Linked DNA regions of Stegostoma tigrinum. The main gene of each other region encodes a partner of the protein of the gene in region 2 in a complex. Links are inferred from orthologs where the notes say so. Each region holds a gene or a part of one and is shown on either strand. Other genes may lie near its edges.

Region 1 (8,361 bases), on a different chromosome or scaffold from region 2:
GAATTATTTCTCACACTAAAATTAGCTCTGCAGTTCCCATTATCTCTGATACTATCTTGGAATCTCACCTCCTAATTTATTCAGCACTCTGGTCACAGCGTTAGAGCAGCCTTCACATGTCATGTCGACGAAGAACTCGTGTTTCTGCAAAAGATTCAATGATTTAAAAATACTCAATCAAAATTTTCGTCTTTATTTTTGAATCTAACCAAGGGTGTGCTCCTCACTGTCTCTGGATTTTCCTCTAGTCCTACTTCCTTCAGTAGATATGCTCACTTCACTAATTGTGACCTCTTGAATCACATCAGTTTTAATCATGACATACTTGGTGGCCAAGTCCTGGAATTTCTCAGTTTAACCACTGGGCCTCTTAACTGCTCTCCCTTCCTTAACACAGATCTTTAAACAAAACTTATTAGTCATTCACTAAAAATCACCTGGCATGTACTTCTGTGGCAAATCTTGGATTATAATGCTCTGTTAAAACATTTTACTAAAGGTTTGATAGAAATAAAAATTGCTGTTTTCAGAATCCCAATGATCCGTTATTAAAATTATCAAATTATGCATGTGATGGAGATATTTAAACAAAACGGACACTATATACGTTGTCTCACAAACTCAAAATAACAAGACTGAGGTGGATGAACAAAGAACCAGAGAATTATGGTATAAATGGAAGCCATTTATCACATGAAACATGTCCACGTTTTTGAACAGCCATGTAGTAAGTTGCTTTTCCCCCACTCTTTCCCCTTATCTCTGAAATTTTGTTCTCCTCCAAACACTCATAAAGGTCACTAAGAGAGTTACTACTAAACCATACTCATTATCTTTTCAGGCAGTGGACTCCAAATCCTAATCACTAACTGGCAAAAGAAATGGAGATAACTTTCTATGCAATCACTATAAATCAGTGTCACAACAAGCAGATATTCACCTGCACATCTGCCAATGTGGTATACTGCATCTGCTGTACCCGTTGTGGCCTCCTCTACATCGGGGAAACAAAGCGGAGGCTTGGGGGCCGCTTTGTAGAACACCTACGCTTGGTTTGCAATAAGCAATTGCACCTCCCAGTCGCGAACCATTTCAACTCCCCCTCCCATTCCTTAGACGACATGTCCATCCTGGGCCTCCTGCAGTGCCACAACGATGCCACCCGAAAGTTGCAGGAACAGCAACTCGTATTCCGCTTGGGAACCCTGCAGCCTAATGGTATCAATGTGGATTTCACAAGCTTCAAAATCTCCCCCACCCTACTCATCCCAAAGCCAGCACAGCTCGTGCCCGCCTGCCTAACCTGTTCCTCTCACCTATCCCCTCCTCCTACCTCAAGCCACACCCCCATTTCCTACCTACTAACCTCAACCTGTCCATCCTCCCCGGACTGACCTATCCCCTCCCTACCTCCCCACCTACACTCACCTCTACTGGCTCCATCCCTGCCTCTTTAACTTGTCTGTTTCCTCTCCACCAATCTTCTCCTCTACCCATTTTTGATCCGCCTCCCCCTCCTCCGCCTCCTTTCTGATGACGGATCTAGGCCCGAAATGTCAGCTTTTCTGCTCCTAAGATACTACTTGGCCTGCTGTGTTCATCCAGGTCTACCATTTGGTAGTGGTTCCTTTTCCTTCAAACAGACTCACCCAATCGACCTCTGATAGATCCTGCCTAATAGCTCCAAAACTGGCCCTGCTGCAGTTCAGCACCTTAACCTGCGGACCTGTTCTATCTTTTCCCATAAGTATGAGAGTTATGGTCAATGGACCTAAAGTGCTCTCTGATTGACACTTCAGTCACTTGCCTGACCTTGTTTTCTAAGAGGATTTCCTGTGTTGCACCCTCCCGAGTAGGGCCCTCTAAATATTCACTTAGGAAACTTTCTTGTTCACATCTGTCAAATTTCACCTCATCCAGGCTTTTTACCTTCTGGGTCAATACAGGAGAAAATAAAGTCTCCAATCGGTACTACTCTATTATTCCTACGTGCATCTGCAATCTCTCTACACATCTGCTCCTTTAGTATCCGCTGTCTATTTGGGGGTCTATAACAAGTCACAAAGTGAGCATCCCCTTCTTGTTTCTAAATTCAAACCATTTGGTATCATCTAATGACCCCCTTAAGAATATGTTCTCTAAGCTCTGTTGTTATGTCCTCCCGTATCAAACGGGCAACTCCCCCTCCTCACTTGTACTTCTATCACTCTGCAGCTTCTGTATCCTGGAACATTGAGCTGCCGATCCTGCCTTTCTCTTAGCCATGTTTCTGTTATGACTATAATATCCCAGTCCCCACAGCCAATCCATGCTCTGAGCTCATTTGCCTCATACAAAGGATCCCATGCCACTAAAGTGAACATTTGAATCCCCTGAGACTTCATCAGAACTGACCACCGTACCTACTGAATCAAAGATACCAAAAAAAACTGATCCTGGAAATTTTGAAAAAAAAAACAGAAGTTGCTGGAGAAACTCAGTAAGTCTAGTAGCATCTGGACATAGAAAGCAGAGTTAAACGTTCAAGTTCAGTAACTCTTCTACTAAACACCGAAGGTCTGAAGAAGGGTCATTGGACCCAAAAGTTAAACTTTGTTTGCACAGGTGCTGCTAGACCTGTTGAGTCTTTTCCAGCAACTTCTGTTCTTGAGCTTATCGACTGAATTGCGTAGAGAGAAACATTTTCAAATAGTGCCATGAGACCTTGCACATTCTTGCCAGAGGTGGGACTTTGATGTAACTCTTTGTCTGAAATCAGGAATGCCCATCCTCCAGTGCAGCGCTCCCTCAGTACTGCACCGAAGTACCGGCCCAGATTTTGCATTCAGTTTTTGGAGAGTAACTTACAACCCTGTGATTCACCTCTCCTACCCTCTCTGAGACAAAATCCAAACTGGTCTCAATGCATTCGACAGAAAATGTGTATCAAGTTCTCCCCCCACCCCTCCCCACAAAACCCCAGACCATTTGTTGTCATCAGCCTTGCAAAAAGGTTGTGCCCTAAAAAAAAATTAGCCTCGAAACATCTCTGGGAATGCAAACACTTTCTGCTGCGCCATTTCGCGGGAGCAGCTAGACCGGGGACTCGGCAAGGGTGTAATACGCCTCCTGTAGCCGAACAGCCAGCTGTACTCATAGCCCAGGCGGACGGGCGAGGGAAAGGCCCCAGCTCCGGGGGGGGAAGGATGGTCCAACCGCTAGGAAATACAAACAATCGCTCAGGCCGTACTGATCCAGAGCGCGGGTCCCCGTGACAAGCGCGGTGTTTGCGTGGACCCCACCCCGGGCTTCGAGCCCACACACCCCCACAACTTCCCCCTCCGCCTCACCGCCATGATGACTCCGGGGTCTCCGCCTCTCTGCTCCTGCTCCCAACCTCGTCCACAACCGGCTGTCACCTCGGCGCATGCGCAACTGCCCATTCACCGGCACAAATAGGGCCGCTAGGGGGCGACCGCGGGCCCACCCGCCTGACTCGCAACCCAGCGATCCGCCGCTAGGGGGAACCAGCGATCCGCCGCTAGGGGGAACCAGCGCCCCCACCCCAAAAAAAACCTGGCACGCACCCGAGCAGGCCAAGCAGCATCTCAGGAGCACAAAAGCTGACGTTTCGGGCCTAGACCCTTCATCAGAGAGGGGGATGGGGAGAGGGAACTGGAATAAATAGGGAGAGGGGGGAGGCGGACCGAAGATGGAGAGTAAAGAAGATAGGTGGAGAGAGTATAGGTGGGGAGGTAGGGAGGGGATAGGTCAGTCCAGGGAAGATGGACAGGTCAAGGAGGTGGGATGAGGTTAGTAGGTAGATGGGGGTGCGGCTTGTGGTGGGAGGAAGGGATGGGTGAGAGGAAGCACGGGTTGGGCTGGTTTTGGGATGCAGTGGGTTCTCTCACCCATCCCTTCCTCCCACCTAAAGCTGCACCTCCATCTCCTACCTACTAACCTCATCCCACCTCCTTGACCTGTCCATCTTCCCTGGACTGACCTATCCCCTCTCTACCTCCCCACCTATACTCTCTCCACCTATCTTCTTTTCTCTCCATCTTCGGTCCGCCTCCCCCTCTCTCCCTATTTATTCCAGAACCCTCTCCCCATCCCCCTTTTCTGATGAAGGGTCTAGGCACGAAACGTCAGCTTTTGTGCTCCTGAGATGCTGCTTGGCCTGCTGTGTTCATCCAGCTCCACACTTTGTTATCTTGGATTCTCCAGCATCTGCAGTTCCCATTATCTCTGATGCAACCGAGCGATCCGCCACTAGGGGGAACCCGTGGGCCCACCCGCTGTCTGGCAACCCAGTGATTCGCCGCTACGGGGAGCCCGCGGAGCCTTTGACGTCTCACAAACCGGCGACCTGACACTCCACCCCGACTTGCAACGCAGCCAGCCACCGCTAGGAGGAGCGCCCGGCCCCCCCCAATCCAAACACGCAACGCAGCGATCCCTCACTAGGCGGAGCCCGCGGGCTATACTTCAGACCCACAACTCAATTAGAGGCGAATGTCACCCCCAACCCCCAAACTTCCTGTGCTGCAGTGAAAAAAGTTCCAGCCTAACCTGGCTTATTCCTACAACTGAAACCTTCTATCCTTGGCAACATCCTGGTAAATCTTTTCTGAACCCTCCAGTTTAATAATGTCCTTCCTGTAACAGGGTGGCCACAATTGCACAAAGTATTCCAGACGAGTCCTCAGCAATGTCCTGCACAACCTCAACATACCATTCCCAACTCCTACACTCAATGGTCTGAGCCATGAAGGCAAGCACGCAAATGCCTTCCTAACCACCCTGTCTACCTGTGAAGCAAATTTCAAAGAATTATGTACCTGAACCCCTAAGTCTCTGCTGGACAACACAGCCCAAGGCTTTCCCATTAGTTTTGTAAGTCCCGCCCTTTTTGTTTTAACAAAATGCAATACCTCACATTTATCTAAGATAAACTCCATCTGCCATTCCTCAGCCCATTGACCCAATTGATCAAGACCTCTTTGCAATCTTAGATAACCTTCACTGAGAATCAATGGGTTGTAGTGGATACCTGGGGGACAGCTCATCCACAGAAATGAAAACACTGAAGTCAAGTGAGGGAAGGAAAGAGTCAGATGCAGGTGGAGGTGTGAGAAAGATGGCAATTGGAAGCAAGACATTTTTTTCAAATTCCAGGCAATAGCAGGAAGATACTATTAATGTACCAGAGAAAGACTTGTGGGTGGAAGCCTGAGTAGGGCTGGAACAAGGAGTGTTCCACATACCCCACAAAGAGACAGGCTCGCCAGGGACCCATGCAGGGGTCCATGGCCACATGTTTGACTTGGAGAAAATGAGATGAGTTGAAGGAGAAATTAAGTGAGAACAAGCCCAGCCAAGCGATGGAGGGTGGCAGTAATGGAGGCAATGCAGATCTCTTTTCAAGGTAGAAGCAGAGACCTCACAGCTAATCCTGATGGGGGAATGGATGTGTAGAAGAATTTCTCATCCATAGAGGAAAGGAGGTGGCTAGGGCCAGAAAACTGGAAATCTTGGAACTGACATAACACATCAAAAGACAATTTTTTTGAGTTTCTACAGCATTTTCTGTGTTCTTCTCAGTTTTCCAGCTTCTGCAAAATCTTGCTTTAATGTGGGTGAGTTAGTTAAACATAGAGTTTGTTGTCATTTATGGCTGTGAGCAGTATTAAGACAACACCGCTCGGGGGGAGCTAAAGGAAATATTTCAATGTTCCTTTGTCCTAAGCTGTGTGTTGACCTGTCAGTGCTGGAATGAATCCCAGAGTATGGGTGATTTCCAGAATGTAGGCTTGTTACTATTTGAAGGGACATTGGATTGAGGTTCTAGTTTGGAAGAAAAAATGTTTTTATGGCTCTTCTTTATTGCTTGATGGTGTAAAGATCTGGGGTTGTTTCTCCTCCTGGGGAGGAAACTGGGTTATCCAAGGTACAGGGTCTTAGATTGACTTCAAGGATGTCTTTGCGTCTAGGTTTGGAATGTCCTGTGGTGTGGGTTTCTGTGCCCAGCTGGCTGAAGAATACCACAGGACAATTCCGTGTGTACTGCATAGTTGTTTCAGCAAAGCTGCTTTCTGGTGAACATGTACCTTGCAAAGAAATTTGAGTGTCAGCGATCTTGTCCTACCACTTGATGTTACAGATAGGTCTTATGCAACCAAAGTAGAATGGTCATTCAAAACAGTGGCTCCCATATTCTAAATGGCACAAAGTACTGTTCATCTATCAGCTCTGTGCTAGTTGACCTACATGGATTTCTGTCCTTGCAGCCTTAGAAATTTTAGATTTTTGCCATTGTTTTCAATTATTCAATGACTTTAACCCTATCTCTCTCAATATTTCCCCTCAAGTTCTTCACTTCTCCAATATCTCTCTGTTCCTCCGATTATGGCTACTTCCACATCCCCATTTTTTATCACACCAGCACTGGACCCTAAGCTCTGGAATTCCCACACTACCTTTTTTTCCTATTTATTTGTGGGATGTGAGCATTGCTGGCTGGCAGCATTTCTTGCCCATCAGTAGTTGCCCTTGAGAAGGTGGTGATGAGCTGCCTTCTTGAATCGCTGCGGTCCTCCTTCTGCGGGTTGACCCACAATGCTATCAGGGAGGGAATTCCAGGATGTTGAACCAGCGACAGTGAAGGAACAGCAACACACTTCCACGTCAGGATGGTGAGTTGCTTGGAGAGGAACTTTGAGGTGGTGGTGTTCTCATATATCTGATACCCTTGTCCCTCTAGATGGAAGTGGTGGTGGGTTTGGAAGGTGCTGTCTGATGATCTTTGGTGAATTTCTGCAGTGCATGTTGTAAATAGTATTCACTGCTGCTGCAGGGTGTCGGTGGTGGAGGGAGTGAATGCTTGTGGGTGTAGTGCCAATCAAACGGGCTCGTTTTTCCTGGATGGAGTCAAGCTTCTTGAGTGTTGTTGGGGCTGCACTCATCCTATATCTCTCAACCTTGTTACCATTCCTTCTCTCTTTAAGATGTACCATAAAATTTACTGCTTTGAAGAAGCTTTTGGCCAACATATATGTGGCTTGGCATCAATTTTTGATGACAATGCCTTTATAAAGCAGTTTGGTTTGTTTTAAAATCTAAAAGCACTATATGAATGTAAGTTGTTGTTCTAGATCTTCTTGTGGTGTGAGTGTACTTCTGACTCTTACTGGCTTTAGCTTGATGATGTGTTTGTCATTCTTATTGGACAGCTTGCCAAAGCAATAAGAGTTCACAGGAAATCAGGTCAAAGATTGTTGATTTTCACATATACATAAAGAGAACCATTTACACCTCTAAACTTTATACAAACCATTACAACACATATATCTTACACTATCTGACGAAGGGTCACTAGACTCAAACTGGCCCTGCGTTTCTCCAACATTTTCTGTTCATGTTTCAGATTTCCAGCATCTGCAGTTCTTTGTTTTTATAATATTGTATCATCTACCATTTTCTCACAGATTTCACAGGCATTGTTTATATTTCACTCAGGGCTGTTTTTGTCTGACTGATAGTATAACTCCTACACTCTGTGTGCTGCCTTTGCACAACAAGTGGTTCCTATTTGTTTTTAGAAAATGACTGAAAAGTTAAACTTTATCTAACTTAAACTGATTATACCTCTTCAGCAATGAACATGGCTCAGAACCCCAAAGTATGATGGGCAGTTTCCTTGTAATTGTGTCTTCAGAAGAGGGGTCATACTGCCAAAAATGGCCGCTGATGTAAATGAAGCATTGTTTGGCAATGGAGTGACCCATGGAAAGTCAAACCTAAAGACACAACCTCAAACTATTAATGTTCAAAGCAGGGAAAAGGCAACTGAAAACACATTGGATGATCTCTTGTGGCTACAGAGATAACCAGGCACTGACGAGACCCTGCTCCAGAAAAAGCCACTGTTAGACTTCGTCTAACTTCTAAGTTAGCTTTTTAACTGACTACCCATCCCCCCCCAACTCACCTTGCACGTTCCAACAACACATCTCCCTGATCCTTTACCACTCCCACCCCAGATCCTGACCCAACACCATTTCTTACACCAGAACCCGACAACACTACCCACCCCAGGACTTGATGTCTTTCCAACACCACAATATCCAGTTTTACCCACCCATCCTAAACCACCTTATTTGTCACTTATTTGCGCCTGAGCACCCTACTTGTGTGATAGCCTATCCATCTGTTTATTTGTTACTTGTTGACACCCTATCCCCTACCGTCCTGGCATGCTACCTCGTACTATTTGGCACCCTCTCCACCTGGTGTCCTGTTCCCTAAAAAGCTGGCACCTTACCCTCTGACGCCCTAAGGCCACACATACCTTACGTACTTTCCTTTAGCCAGCAGTGTCAA
Region 2 (7,641 bases):
CCTTGGGATTCTCCTTGATCCTGTTTGCAAAAGACATTGCATGGCTCTTTTTAGCCTTCTTAATTCCATGCTTAAGTTCCTTCCTAATTTCTCTGTACTCCTCAGGGGCTTTGTAAGTTTGTAGCTGCCTCGATCTATAGCATGCTTCCTTTCTCCTTTTGACTAAGCTTACAACTTCCCTTGTTATCCATGGTTCCTGAATCCTGCCATTCCTATCCTTCAGTTTTGCATGAACATGCACATCCTGCTCTTTAATCAACTGGTCTTTAAAAGCCTCCCATATGACAGATGTAGATTTGCCCTCAACTGCTCCCAATTCACATTCCCCAATTCCTGTCTATTTTGGATATAATTGGCCCTTGCCCAATTAAGCATCTTCACCCAAGTGCCAGTTTTGTCCTTGTCCATGACTACTCAAAACCTTATGGAGTTATGGTCATTAAGCCAAAAATGCTTTCCTACTGAAACATCGATCACTTGTCCTGGCTCATTCCCTAATATCAAGTCTTGCACGGCCTCCTCTCTGGTAGGATTGTCAACATACTGTCTCAAAAAGCCCTCCACGACACATTAACAAATTGCTCTCCAACTGAGCCCTTGTGTCTAAGGGAGTTCCAGTCATTATAATCAAGAGAATGCCATTGGTTTGGGACACATTTTCAGGACTTTGCTCAAATATTTCAAGCACAATGTTCGGAAACACTACCATGGGTGAACCCTGGCTCTGTACAAAACAAAATATACCTTTTCAAGTGGTGAACTGCCCAATGTCAATGCATCTTTTGCAAAGGGCTGTTGACAATGTTCTTAGTGTGGCTCTCCCAGAAATTTACACAAGGAAAAAGTAGCCTGTTTAGATTTGTAATCAAACACCCTTGAGATGTAACCTTTTTAACTGATTAGACTTTTTTGATAGCTACTTCAGATTTACTGCATTCTGCACAAATGATTGCTAATCACTCCCAGAACCCATTATCAGATACTTTTACATTTGTGAAGATGTGATATCCTGAAGAAGTGCTGTATTCATAGAACATAGAACATAGAACATTACAGCACAGAACAGGCCCTTCGGCCCTCGATGTTGTGCTGTGAACTAATCTAAGCCCATCCCCCTACACTATCCCATCATCATCCATATGCTTATCCAAGGACTGTTTAAATGCCCCTAATGTGGCTGAGTTAACTACATTGACAGGCAGGGCGTTCCATGCCCTTGCCACTCTCTGAGTAAAGAACCTACCTCTGACATCTGTCTTAAATCTAACACCCCTCAATTTGTAGCTATGCCCCCTCGTACAAGCTGACGTCATCGTCCTCGGAAAGACACTCTCACTGTCCACCCTATCTAATCCTCTGATCATCTTGTATGTCACTATTAATCCCCTCTTAGCCATCTTCTCTCCAATGAGAACAGACCCAAGTCCCTCAGCCTTTCTTCATAAGGCCTTCGCTCCAGAATAGGCAGCATCCTGGTAAATCTCCTCTGCACCTTTTCCAGTGCTTCCACATCCTTCCTGTAATGGGGCGACCAGAACTGCACGCAATATTCCAAGTGAGGCCGCACTAGCGTCTTGTACAGTTACAGCATGACATCACGGCTCCAGAACTCAATCCCTCTACCAATAAAACCTAGAACACCGTAAGCCTTCTTAACAGCACAATCAACCTGGGTGGCAACTTTCAGGGATCTATGTACGTGGACACCAAGACCCCTCTGGACATCCATGCTACCAAGAATCTTTCCATTGACCCAGTATTCTGCCTTCCTATGATTCTTCGCAAAGTGAATCACTTCACATTTATCCGCATTGAACTCCATTTGCCACCTTTCAGCCCAATTCTGCAGTTTATCCAAGTCTCCCTGCAACCTGCAACATTCTTCCACACTGTCCACCACTCCTCTGACTTTAGTGTCATCTGCAAACTTGCTAACCCATCCACTTATGCCTGCGTCCAAGTCATTTATAAAAATGACAAACAGCATTGGTCCTAAAACAGATCTTTGAGGCACAACACTGGTAACCGGATTCCAGGCTGAATATTTTCCATCCACCACCACTCGTTGCCTTCTTACAGAAAGCCAGTTTCTAATCCAAACTGCTAAATCTCCCTCAATCCCGTGCCTCTGTATTTTCTCCAATAGCCTACCATGTGGAACCTTATCAAAGGCTTTACTGAAGTCCATGTACACCATGTCAACTGCCCTACCTTCATCCACATGCTTGGTCACCTTCTCAAAAAACTCAATGAGGTTTGTGAGACACGACCTGCCCTTGACGAATCCATGTTGACAATCTCCAATCAAATTGTTGCTTGCTGGATGATTCTAAATCCTATCTCTTATAATCCTTTCCAAAATTTTTCCGACAACAGATGTAAGGCTCACAGGTCTGTGATTACCTATGTGCTACTCTGAACAGATGCATGACTTTGACTGAATGTTGATTTAGAAGCCATTAATAATGGGTTTGCTCTTGGGCAGCTGGGAATAATATTTCATTCTATTCTCCATATTTCTGCCATGTTCAACAGCTTTATTTATAAGACAAAAAATATGGACTTCTGTGGATCTAAAAGTATTGCTGTTGAGGAATTGATTTGCAAATAGTTCTATCTGTTTAGGTACTGTACTCCCACCTTTCAAAACAACTATAATCACCCCATTGTTGTAAAAAGTCCTTGATCTAACCAAATTTTCTGCAATCTCCTATTGTCTTTCTCTGCATCGTCTTTGAAGTATTGTAAATTTCCAAGATCTACGCAATTTCCAAAAACATTACTAATAAAGTTGACATAGATGCCTTTTGTAACATGACTGTGTGACACTATTTATTACGTTCTTCTTAATACCCCTTTATAGCTGATGACAACATCCTCCTACAAGTTGTTTTGTTGATCCACCTATGCTACAAAGCATACCTTCAGCTATAGGCTTTATTTTTATTGTGACTGAGGCTTAGACAAATGTCCTGAAGAAGGGTCCCTCAAATCAAAAAATGTTGACTTTGCTCTCTGTCAGATTATGCCAGACATGTTGAGTTTCTCCATCAATTTTCTGTTTTTGTTTCAAAGTTCCAGCATCCATTGTTCTTTGTTTTTGTTTTGTTACTTGTTGTTCATTTTCCTCCCTAGTGTCCTAGATATATGAAGCTGCACACTTCATTTGTTCACTGTGCTTGCCTGAATACTCTAACCCTGGAATGTTTTACTAATTTCAGTCAATGGGATTCAGCCTTAGTTTTGATATTCAGACCAAAGCAATTTAAGCAAATTCCCTGATGGTCTCAGTGCCAGAACATCATTTCCAAAGTTTTGAGTATTCATTCACAAACTTGCTTTAAAGGGACATTGAACATTAAGTGTGCAAAAACCTACAATCCCACACCATTAATGAACATGTTGCGCAATTGGCATGAATTATTAAGTTCATTGACTGACTTGACTGACTCCCAGGTTGTCAGTAACTTTAGATGCTTGGTGGAGTCTAGATTCCACATTAGTTGGAGTGTGAGAGGTTGCAGCTCTTGTTCCATTATTTAATTGACTAAATTGTCCCTCAATGTTCGATTCCACTTTCGCTTCATACTCCTATAGTCTCTGGCCATCCAGTGCTGAGGACAGTAGAGGGCCTCTTAGTGGGTCTAGCTGCTGAGCCTGGCTGGAGTGACCACCCACATCTTTAAGCTGTGAGGGGGAAGTGGCATTAAAACTGAGAAGGAACCTCTCCACCCAGACTAGCAAACCTAAGCAATTCGCAGCAACAGAAAGCCATTGAAAGCAAAACAGTGAAGGAGTCAGATACAGACATTCCTCAGTCTCTGTGATGGTGTTGTTCCCTGAATGATGAAATTGGCGAGCACGGAGTCCATTAAAAGTAGCTTAAAATTTGTTGATAGGTGGGTTTGCCCGCTGGTGATGAATTGTGTTGCTGCTTACTTTTTGGGACAGACAGGTGAAATTGCTGAGAGAGAGAAGGTTTACTGTATACTTTTAGGGCTAAAGAGATCAAAGGAAAAAGGCATAAAGTGGGATTAGGGTACTAAATTCGATGATTTTATTGAATGCTGGAGGAGGCTCGAAGGATTGAATGGCCTGCTTCTGCTCCTGTTTTCAATATTTTCTTTGTTTGTTGGAGCCCTGAGTAGCAGCACAGAGTCTGTCACTATCTTCCAGTAATTAGACTTAGAATTAATTCATTTTCTAAGCAACCTTCATGTTAACTTTTAGTTTTTTTTCATTTGTGGAGCGTTATTTGAAAACACACTTTTGCTGCTGTTTTTGAGCTTACTGTACCCACTGACCCCTTCATATTTTGATGAAGAACTATCCAACATTGTCCTCTCCCTCCTCCCCTTCCATTCCTTTGATTGACAGTCCATGTTCAGTGACGTCAGCATCATCTGGTCCCGCCCCATGTCACGAAAGTCATCCGCGTGCATGCGCAGCGCGGGTTCCACTCCTTAATCTCATCCCTCCGGGAATCTCTGGTGGCGACGATCCGTTCCGGAGGTAGTAGTCGTCTTTGGTGGTGTGTTGTTCCCGGGAAGAACAGAAGTGATCGGCCGAGGCCTAAGGTGAGCAGCCGCTGGTGATGCTGTCGCGTAAATATAAAACTTTACTTTTTGTGTAAATTACAAAAAAGAACATGCCTTTTGTGCCACAGTGAGGGAGAAATGAGTTACAGCTTCAATTCCTTGGAATCTTCTAAATAAACAACAGGTTCTAACGTGGATCAGCATGAAAACAAACATAGCATAACAAAGGAATTAATAATAATGCAATATGTTCAATAGAATCAAGCAAATTCCAGGAAGTTCCAGGAAACAGAATGAGAAATAATACTGTCAGACAGAACGAAGGTTCTTGTGAATTGAATATTTTGTGGAAACTTGGTGCAGATGTATTTTGAAGTTGTGTATTAAAGGGGAGGTAGTATTGGAAGTGCTTGTATGTGAGATGGATTATTAGTGACTTTGAAGCAGTTTGTATTTATAATGTACAAAAACCATCTCAAGATTCTTTACAGAAGTATAACCACACAAACACTGACTCGGGAGACGTGAGGGGGCTGACTAGCAGCTTGATCAAAGGGATAGGCTTTAAGAAGAGTTTTTTAAAAAAAAAATCAGACAAAGAAGAGAAGGGAGAGAAGCAGAAGTGAGTCACATGAGCGAGATAAATTTTGTGTGTTATGAGGGAGCTGCAGAAATTACCAAAAAAAACTCGCAGTTCTGGACTAGACTGCGCTGAGCCTTGGCTGAGTGGGAAGGCAGCTGAGTAAAAGGTGATCCCCATCTTTATAACTTGATGGAGGGACAACATTTACAGATTTACATTTTATTTTCACTAAATTGCTCTGTAGAGGAAAGCTTATGATTTTTCTGTTTTTATAGTTTAAAGGATTTTTTGTTCTCCTAGTTCCTGACTACTCATGGGTACTCCAACTTTGCTGCTAGACATTGCTGCTTCACGACGGAGACAAACCTCAGAGGATCTCTCTCCCACTGCAAATCTCTTGTCCATCCCTGCCTCTTTAACTTGTCTGTACCCTCTCCACGTAACTTCTCCTCTATCCATCTTCAATCTCCCCCCCCCGTTATTTCAGAACGCTGTTCCCCTCCCCCATTTCTGATGAAGAGTCTAGGCCCGAAATGTCGCTTTTGTGCTCCTAAGATGCTGCTTGGCCTGCTGTGTTCATCCAGCTCCACACCTTGTTTGCTCACAACGACAGGGTACTGGATTCAGTTCCACCCTTAGGTGACTGTGTGGAATTTGCATATTCTTCTGTGTCTGCTTGGACTTCCTCCAGGTGCTCCAGTTTCCTCCCACAGGCGAAAGATGTGCAGGTTAGGTGGATTGGCCGTGTTAAATTGCCCATAGTGTTCAGGGATGTGTACGTTGGGTGGGTTGTATGGGAATGTATCTCAGTGGGATGTTCTGAGGGTTGTGTGGACTTATTGGGCCGAAGGGCCTGTTTCCACACTGTAGGGATTCTGTGATCTTGATGTGATGATTCTTGTACTGTTCGTTATGAGGGGCATCATTTTTGAGGCAGATTCTACACATTTTGGACCTCCAGATGATAGCTGGTGGTGCAGCACTCTCAACACTATAGGCCAGTGTCAGCCTAGATTATGTGGTTGTGCTATGGACTTAGACTTGGATCTACACCCCAGTGATTCATAGATGAGAAAACAATTAAGTACGTTAGCTGACATAGTGACTTACCACTCGGCCAGCCATTATCTAAATAGCTTTGTGGTGAGTTATTTTACAGAACTGAAAGTTGCATTAATATAGTTGTTGTATGGCAAGCAAGGAAATGACACAAGTGAACTTGTGGTGAAAATGTATTGTTGAGGACGTTATTATGGTGAGAGCTTAATAGTATAGGTGAAGTGTCGAGGAATAATAGCACATCTGGTGAGCCTTAACTTGTTACATCAGTATAGAATTTAATTGAAATGTTTAGACGACTTACGTATGATGTATACCTGGACTAAATTGAATGTTGGTGTTCAATGCAAGCTTTTAAGAGAATGTATATACCACTCGATCCCTCCTCTTGCTTCAAGTAAGTTGCTCACAGGTTGTTATTCTCTGTAGCATTACTTTACTTTTTTTATGTATTGAAGAAATGAAAGTGTTAGTTAAAAGTATTATCAGAAGGCGAATGACTTTGTTGAGAACAAATTGTGATTATATCATAATTCAGAGTCATAGAGATATACAGTACAATTTTTGGTCCAACTCATCCATGCTGACCAGATATCCTAAACTAAACTAGTCCCATTTGCTAGATTTGGCCCATATCCCTCTAAACCCTTCTTATTCATGTACCCATGCAGATGCCTTTTAAATGTTGTAATTGTACCAGCCTCCTCCACTCCATCTGGTAGTTCATTCCGACACACATCACCTGTGCATGAAAAAGTTGTCCCTTACCTCCCTTTTAAATCTTTCTCCTCTCACTTTTAACCTATGCTTCTATTTTGAACTCCCCTACTCTGTGGAAAAGACCTTGACTACTCAGCCTATCCATGCCTCTCGTGATTTTATAAACCTCTATAAGCCACTGAAGTTCCAAGGAAAGTAGCCCCAGTCTATTCAGTGTCTCCCTATTGTTCAAACCCTCCAACGTTGGCAACATCTTTGTAGAACTTGTCTGAGCCTTTCAAGTTTAACAACATCCTTCCTATTGCAGGGAGACCAGAATTGAATGCAGTATTCCAAAAGTGGCCTGACCAATGTCCGGTACAGCTGTCACATGACCTCCTAACTTGATGTACAGACCAATAAGGACAAGCATACCAAACACCACCTTCACAATCTTGTCTACCTGTGACTGTATTTTCAAGGAACTATGAACTTGCATTCAAAGGTCTCTTTGTTCATAGTAATTATCAATCCGTAGCCTTAGTTTAAGTTATCCAGCCTTCTGTTCAGATTGGATTGATCACCTTCTGGGGAGAGGTAGAGGTTGAGGTAAGAACGGGAAAGATAGGAAGAAAATTTGAGGACAGCCAAAATCTAAAATCTTGCTTCAGAGACACTGAAGTACGTAAAGCCACTAGTTTATAACAATACTGCATATTTTTGTGGTGATTGCACGGTTAGTCTTAATCATTTACCAGTTGT

Evidence for each region. Proteins that work in one complex are often made in the same cells at the same time.
Region 1: the proteins of atp7a (region 2) and atox1 are in contact, whole or in part, in an NMR structure (PDB 2K1R), measured with the Homo sapiens proteins. The link is inferred for Stegostoma tigrinum from reciprocal best matches to the Homo sapiens genes ATP7A and ATOX1. Residues at the interface, in NP_000043.4 of Homo sapiens: Cys19, Asn20, Ser21, Cys22, Trp24, Thr25, Gln29, Asp67, Asp68, Met69, Gly70, Phe71, Asp72; in NP_004036.1 of Homo sapiens: Thr11, Cys12, Gly13, Gly14, Cys15, Ala18, Arg21, Val22, Lys25, Lys57, Thr58, Gly59, Lys60.

Annotation. Positions count from the first base shown.
Region 1 is NC_081366.1:16,695,108-16,703,468, reverse strand, and holds the start of atox1 (copper transport protein ATOX1), read right to left. Parts: upstream 3,416-8,361; 5' UTR 3,336-3,415; coding exon 3,330-3,335; intron 145-3,329; coding exon 69-144; intron 1-68. UniProt on the Homo sapiens protein: Binds and deliver cytosolic copper to the copper ATPase proteins. May be important in cellular antioxidant defense.
Region 2 is NC_081368.1:25,920,581-25,928,221, reverse strand, and holds the start of atp7a (copper-transporting ATPase 1), read left to right. Parts: upstream 1-4,461; 5' UTR 4,462-4,577; intron 4,578-7,418; exon of another isoform or gene 7,419-7,488; intron 7,489-7,641. UniProt on the Homo sapiens protein: ATP-driven copper (Cu(+)) ion pump that plays an important role in intracellular copper ion homeostasis.